Lytechinus pictus: one gene and its partner. The main gene of each other region encodes a partner of the protein of the gene in region 2 in a complex. Links are inferred from orthologs where the notes say so. Each region holds a gene or a part of one and is shown on either strand. Other genes may lie near its edges.

Region 1 (3,757 bases), on a different chromosome or scaffold from region 2:
ATAGTCCCTAGTCATTACATTTATTTTGAAAAACTCTTAAATGCTAACTGGCAAGGATAAAAGAAAAAATAACGTCCCCATAAGTTGCTGAAATTACACTTTTCACCGCTACATATAAATGAAATTGAACTGGCCTACTTATTTTCCATATTTCCTTGAAATTCTTTTGATTTAATTGGGAATTATCAAGAGAATCAGAGAGTCTCCCATCTTTCTTGACAATGAAAGATTGTTTTCAATCGATGTCACACTCGATCTACCTACATGAAAGTCTACATGTGGGACTACAATATGTACAATATTGATCTGTAGAATTTCAGCAACATTTTGGGAAGTGTTTTTTTTTTCTTCAATACGGTCACACAGTTGTAGTAGGAAAAAATGAACCTCTTAAAATGTTGTTAGAATGACGTTTAAAATTTTGACTTCGCCCTAATTTCTAGTTTACATCTTACTGCTGGAATGCCCACAAGCTGCCATTACAGATAGTTTACTTTCAAACAAATATCATTAGCTAGGATTTTTAAGGGTGTGGTAACACAAAATATCATGGACATGGTTGCAAACATTTGTTTACATAATTCCTTTTTCCAGATAATGTATCCTTTCTGTACCATCAGTCTAGAAGCAATATGGTAACGTCACATCAGTAAAGTCTTGGGTGATTTAGTCGAGTATCAACAAGATATTATGTACCTTCTGGTTCTTCTTCCTCAGCAAGATATTTGAGTTCCTCCTTGATGGGGGTTTCATGGTCCTCCTTTGTGACGAAGAGAACTTGGTCCTTCCCTGATAATAATAAAAAAAATAATCACAAAGATCAACGTAAGAACACAGAAACATGTCTACAATAAGTTTTGTTTGTACAAAAAGCCATTGTATATTACTGATCATCACTGCTTGTACTTGCAGTGATTTACAAAAGTAAGATTGGTATTTAGAAGGGATTTGTAATGCGCCAAATCCGCTCTGCACAGTGCCCAAGGTGCAATGGAAGAGAAAGAGAGAGAAAAGTAACGGCGAAGGACAATGAGAAACAAGATGGCGGCGTAAGCATCGGGCAAGTCTCCCCCGTCTTTTCATATTTTTTTCATTTTTTTATGAATTCTTGTTTATAAATGAAATTGATAGCGTAGAAATGTCGGAAATGAAGTTGTATCCGATTTACATGATTTAAGGCTAGATCTTATAAGTAGAAATCTCGGGGGCCAAAGTTTCAGGTTTTTTGGCGGTATACGCAGATAAATGGGATGGAATCCCAGGCTCCGTTGGAGAGTAAGCATACGTTAGTAAAATATTTTTACTCTCAAGGAGCCTCTTGGCTACCCAGACCGGCTTACACTGCTTTCAGTATAGGTGGCAACTGTCTTTGGCAAAACAAAGCCTAAAGTAAAGGTATGATCTAATGATCATGATGTTTTTGTTTATCCGAAAACTGTTCGGTTTCGACTCCCCATATAAAACTAAGTCAGGCGTTTAACGGAATTGAAAATAACCGTGAATATATAAATAATGCAGCACTCGGCTACCGACGAGTGACGTGACATGATTTGCTCAGCCAGGCCCACCTTACCTTAATGCCCGTTGTTTTTAAACGTTGTTAATGCACGTCCGCCCAGTACATGTATCTATCGCGCTCCAGCTACATGTAGCTCCACGCACTTCAGACTCAGTGGCCCGTATTCTGAAGTCGGGTTTAACTTAAACTCAGGTTTAAAGTTGTGGTTTAAGTATGGACAGCCAATTGTTACATAAACCACTAACGGTAGAGATATCATACTTCAGCCCATTCTGCTCTCAAATCATTCATAATTGTGTAAAAAGTACGTATAAATAGATGATTGTCTTCACCATCGATGAATCAGGAAAGAGCACAGTAAACATCACCCAAGGGTTCATTACATGCTGCCGCGCACAGAAAAATCAAGCCATAGAAGTCATGTGTTGTGGACACCAGAAGTGAGATCCCATCACGCGAGACCCACTAGCTAGTTAGAAATCCACTGCCACACGCGGTTCATGGTGCGAGGTTAGTATACTATTAATACCACTCACACTAATAGTAATACGAGGTACTAGCCTCGCAATACGTGTGAGTGAGTAAACATAGGAAATGTACAATTACAACTTAATAAAAAAAATGATACATTTGGCTTCCCATACTTAAACCACAACTTTAAACCTTAGTCTAAGTTACACCTGACCTCAGAATACGGGCCAGTGAAACAAGCTGAGGCTGCCTGAGCGCTAGCGCGCCAGGGCCCAGGGATCGGGAAGGGGACGGGCCGTTGGACAGGGGCTAGGCTGGGGCAGCCGGCAACCGCGGGGAAGTACGGCGTAATCATCATCATGAATGATGAAGTAGATGATGAAGAATGTTGCGAAGAAATACTTCAGAGTTCAGAATACACCCTTTTCAAATCATGCTTTAAAAACATAAAAGAGAATAATCTGAGAACATTATACATACCCTCTTGGCGACAATACGACATTGTTGTTTATCTAATTCTCCCCTAATTCTGTAAGAATTCGACTTGTATTTAGACGCAGCAGCTAACAGTGATGATGTAAGAAATACCTGCACACACATGTGTTACCGTAAATAGTTTTTGTTCAGGAAAATGGTTATATCTTATTACTAAATCCAGATGATAATTTCTTATTATGTAGTAATGGTGCCATTTTATGTATTTAATGGATTTCAGTGTAATGATAATCGATTCTTATGATCATAAAATGCTGGGGCTGGAAATTGATTTCTTATCATTATGCATAGATTTTATCATATTTAGTGAATGGGCTGCTGATCAAAAGACCATTACACTATTGGTAGCTCGAATCGAAATTGAATGGAAAGCAATGGTGCGAGTCGCCACGTATACGCCGCATCCCGGCCGGTCGACCGTACGCCGTATCGTATACCGTTTGTTGGCATATGACCAGACCATAATGTGTAACCGTCTGGTCGACCGATCGTAAATTGTTTAATTTGAGTAGTTTAAAAGAAAATAAAAATATATTCAGGGGATCAGATAGTGTACTGGGACTAGAAGATCAAACTGTATTCACAACCAGACGTCAGTTTTAGGAAAATGGGAAATCCCACGACAAAGGGAAACGCACTTCTACTACCCCTCAGCACGAACTCGAAGGAAACATCCCCGGGCCAGACCGGCGGAGGTAAGCAAGTGTTTTCCTGCTACTAGGACTAGGAGCTAGTATACTAATACCTACCTGGACAAGTTAGTCATATCTTTATCCACCAACCACGGAGTTAGTTTCAATCTTACTAAACCCGTTTCACGAAAGGCTTCCTAACTAGAATACCTTGATATCGATACTATCGGTTGAAAGAGCAGACGAGACGTAGCCTTAGTCACAAAATAGCACAATTTTTTAAAAGTAAAAATATGATAAAACTGCAATTATTGTGATTAATTTGGAAATACATTTAATCAAAATAATAGCAGAGGCAAAATATGTACCATGCATACTTAAACCATGAAGACTGGAGCATTCATTTGCTGAGAAAATCAAATTATGAATAATTCATTTCAATTTCATGACTAAAAACTTACATGTGGACATTGAGATGGGTATCCCCGGGATAGTAGATTTGGATAGTTTACGAAAGTAAACCACAGTTGTTTTCTTTGTGATAATTATGAGTTTATTAATGGTTCCAAACATCATCAAAATATAGTTTAACATAAATTTTAAATGTTTACATACCGAAACACAAGATTTGACAATTTTT
Region 2 (3,757 bases):
TCATTTAATAATTATTTGCTGCAACTACTTTCTATACCTTTAAATTAGGGTAAGTTATCTGGGTTTTTTTTATGAACATTCATCATATAATGGTTGTTATACCTCACCTGGAGGAGAATCTGAATGCACTATCTCAACACATTTATCAAAAAGGAAAAAGAGATTTTGTGTCTCGCCCACTTATGAAAATAACCAGAAATATCGTGATTTACATCAGAATTGTAACGAAACTTCATTGTGAAATGACTAGGATGGAATAACACTTGTCATAAGAGTCTTGCACGTAAATTTTAATGTTGCCCTCAAAGTGAACTTTGACCATACCATGTGACCTCCCAACGCAATAGCATGCAGGTCCCCTAAGTACATCTACCATCCAAGTTTGGTTGAAAAGTGATTTACGGTTGCAGAGTTATGTGTCATAAGAGAGTCTTGCACATAAACTTTAACGTTGACCTGAAAATGACCTTTGACCTTACCATGTGACCTCCGATTGCAGCATAACATGCAGGTCCCCCAAGTTCATCTACCATCCAAGTTTGGTTGAAAAGTGACTTCCGGTTGCGGAGTTAGGTGTCATAAGAATGTCTTGCATGTAAACTTTAACGTTGACCTGAAAATGACCATTGACCTTACCATGTGACCTCTGACTGCAGCATAACATGCAGGTCCCCCAAGTCCATCTACCATCCAAGATTGGTTGAAATGTGACTTACGGTTGCGGAGTTAGGTGTCATAAGAGAATCTTGCATGTAAACATTAAAGTTGACCTGAAAATGACCTTTGACCTTACCATGTGACCTTCAACTGCAGCAATAACATGCAGGTCCCCCCAAGTCCATCTACAATCCAAGATTGGTTGAAAAGTGACATACGGTTGCGGAGTTAGGTGACATAAGAGAATCTTGCATGTAAACTTTAACGTTGACCTGAAAATGACCTTTGACCTTACCATGTGACCTCCGACTGCAGCATAACATGCAGGTCTCCCCAAGTCCAACTACCATCCAAAATTGGTTGAAAAGTGACTTACGGTTGCGGAGTAAGGTGTCATAAGAGAATCTTGCATGTAAACTTTAACGTTGACCTGAAAATGACCTTTGACCTCCGACTGCAGCATAACATGCAGGTTCCCCCAAGTCCATCTACCATCCAAGATTGGTTGAAAAGTGACTTACGGTTGTGGAGTTATAAGTCATAAGGTTTGTGACGGACGGACGACATTTGGATCCCTAAGTCTCGCCTTCACCTCTGGTGGACGAGACAAAAAGCAGAGTCTGCTGTATTTTGCACAAAATGATTAAGAACTTCTGTTTTGTAACTTTATTAACAGAATGTTTCTATTCACATTTATTATCATAAAACTTGTATTGTAAGAATCTTTGCTCATACATGTCCCATTTTGTGGAATTGCCTCCCCTCAGGAAGACATCCAAATTTTTATCTCTTTTTCATATTTAAAAAATCGTCTCAAATCATCTATTTACTTCTTAGTTCTTTATGTGCCTTGAGCACTCAAATAAGTGGATTTGTTGCTTTTAATGTCACATTGTTATCATAAAGAAAACGTTGAGGTACATAAATATAGAGACCCCCCCTCCACCCACATCTGACATACCTTGACCTGTAGTTGTTGACCCTTTTAATGTCACATTGTTATCATAAAGAAAACGTTGAGGTACATAAATATAGAGACCCCCCCTCCACCCACATCTGACATACCTTGACCTGTAGTTGTTGACCCTTCTGCTGGAGCAGCCTCGGTACTGGCTGCAGGCTCGGCAGGGCTGGCTTCAGATCCAGCTGAACTGGCAGGAGCCAGATTGAAATTTACTTTCTTAGGTGGGCCACCCCATGTTACTAAACCTTGTGTTTGAACCTAAAGAGAATTGCATATACATGTATCATATCACAGGATACTTCTTTTGATAATCAAATTTTTATACAAGGATATCAAACCACTCCAATGTCATCTAAGCTCAAACTAGACTAATTCTTCTGGTGCTTCTAAGAACTAGATAAATTATGGGTAATGTAAATCAATGTCTCTGGAGAAAAAAAAAAATTAAAAACACCCAATTGATAGTTTCAATCAAGAGCTGAAACAATCATGATGAATCTTACTTCCGAAGTTCCATCAAATGCTTTCTCTACAGATTGTGATTATATCATTACTAGAGTTGATATGGTCAATGGTAAGAAAAGTTTCATCCGAACACAAACACTGTTTTCTGAAAAAAAAAAAAGAAAATCTACTGCTTTAAAACTTATCTTATTTCTTTGGGCAAAATTTAAAAATGGAAGCAAAGTTACACATGAGAGTTAAAACAGATGATTTAAAACTCTTGAAATGCCAAATTTTCCAATCCACACCACGTACACATAAATCCCACATGATTGCCCACATATCACATTGTAAATATAATATACTTACTAATGTAGCTGAGGCAATGAAGAAAGTAACTCCACCGATAGCCCAGTAAATTCCATTCTTACCAACTCCTTCAGTAGTTATGTGAGCCATAGTTCTAGAAGTGGTGGTTTGCAGAACTTTATGACGAGGAAGTTGGAACAAGGATCCTACAATATTTAGAGTAAGAGATAGGAAAATAGAAGGAGATAATTGCATCAACATAACAAAGGGCTGATGGGTAATGATTCTATTGTATGATATACATATTCTGGGCAGATATTACACCGACTCAGGTAAAAAGATAAAAATAAACAGCGTTGACATCTTGTCCAGCAGATGGAAAAAAAAAGGTCTTGAATATGTTGCATATTGCTGACGGAGCACCATATACCAAGAGTGGGAGATTCAAGTCATGTATTCAAACATATTCTGAATAGTGTAAAATTTGAATTATTTCATTGCAAGTTTGACTTCACATAACATCGCCTCTTTCTTTTTATTTTTGGGTTTTTTTGTGCGTTTTTTCCTCTCCTACTCATTTTCCTTCTCATCCCCTCCCATTCTAATTCTTCTTCTCCTTACTTTTCCTTGACTGTTTTTCATGTTTTCTTCTTCTCATCTAATGTTAACCTCTTCCATTTTTTCTCGAAGTTTAAAGTTCGTTCTTTCTTTTCCCTTCTTTTAATTCTAATCTTAAAATAATCTTATCCAGGCTAGCATTCTTTTCACTATAGGGAGCATTGGGACTTCAATAAGGTAGATAAAGCTACCAGACTCTGGTGAGAAGAATTAGAAGGGAGGGGATGAGTAGTCAGACTTTCAAGTGCCATTGTACAAAATCCACAGATACCTAACAAAATTTTTAGATCTAATTTCTTATATCTAAACTGCAACTATTTTCACTCAAAAAAGTTCGTAACTAAGAGAAAAAAAAATAAATCCCTACACAATTCACCATGCAACAAGCCCTGTTGTACATCATTGTGTGCATTTGTGTGTTGCCTAACTTTTGCCTAATTTATTACGTGATTATAAATAATTAGTATAATACTGCCAATTTATAATCACGTAATAAATTTTAGTATTTGTGAAATAATATTTTTTATCTATAAATTGTTCTTCAAAACGGCATTGCTTATCGGAAGTACGTAATACATAAGCGGTTCAAGGGTCGACGCTATTGTATTTGCGTTGTTTACATGTGGATCAAGGGGTCTACGCGACATCAATCTGGTAAGAAACCCACTCATTCAATGAACAAGGTTATGATATAACCTTGTTCTCAGTTATATCTCCATGTGTGGCAAAATAAGGATGGCAATGTTTGGCTTATTTTCTCTTTTT

Evidence for each region. Proteins that work in one complex are often made in the same cells at the same time.
Region 1: the proteins of apoptosis-inducing factor 1, mitochondrial-like (region 2) and mitochondrial intermembrane space import and assembly protein 40-like are in contact, whole or in part, in a cryo-EM structure (PDB 9GQZ), measured with the Homo sapiens proteins. The link is inferred for Lytechinus pictus from reciprocal best matches to the Homo sapiens genes AIFM1 and CHCHD4. Residues at the interface, in NP_004199.1 of Homo sapiens: Pro345, Tyr347, Ser500, Ser501, Leu502, Pro503, Thr504, Val505, Gly506, Val507, Phe508, Ala509, Lys510, Glu558, Asp559, Tyr560, Asn602, Ala605, Lys606, Phe608, Asn609, Ile610, His611; in NP_001091972.1 of Homo sapiens: Arg5, Glu7, Lys9, Asp10, Arg11, Ile12, Ile13, Phe14, Val15, Thr16, Lys17, His20, Thr22, Pro23.

Annotation. Positions count from the first base shown.
Region 1 is NC_087247.1:23,673,226-23,676,982, forward strand, and holds the start of mitochondrial intermembrane space import and assembly protein 40-like, read right to left. Parts: upstream 2,900-3,757; 5' UTR 2,823-2,899; intron 2,579-2,822; 5' UTR 2,493-2,578; coding exon 2,471-2,492; intron 790-2,470; coding exon 697-789; intron 1-696.
Region 2 is NW_026974140.1:13,270,013-13,273,769, forward strand, and holds the start of apoptosis-inducing factor 1, mitochondrial-like, read right to left. Parts: upstream 2,577-3,757; 5' UTR 2,525-2,576; coding exon 2,435-2,524; intron 1,880-2,434; coding exon 1,723-1,879; intron 1-1,722. UniProt on the Homo sapiens protein: Functions both as NADH oxidoreductase and as regulator of apoptosis.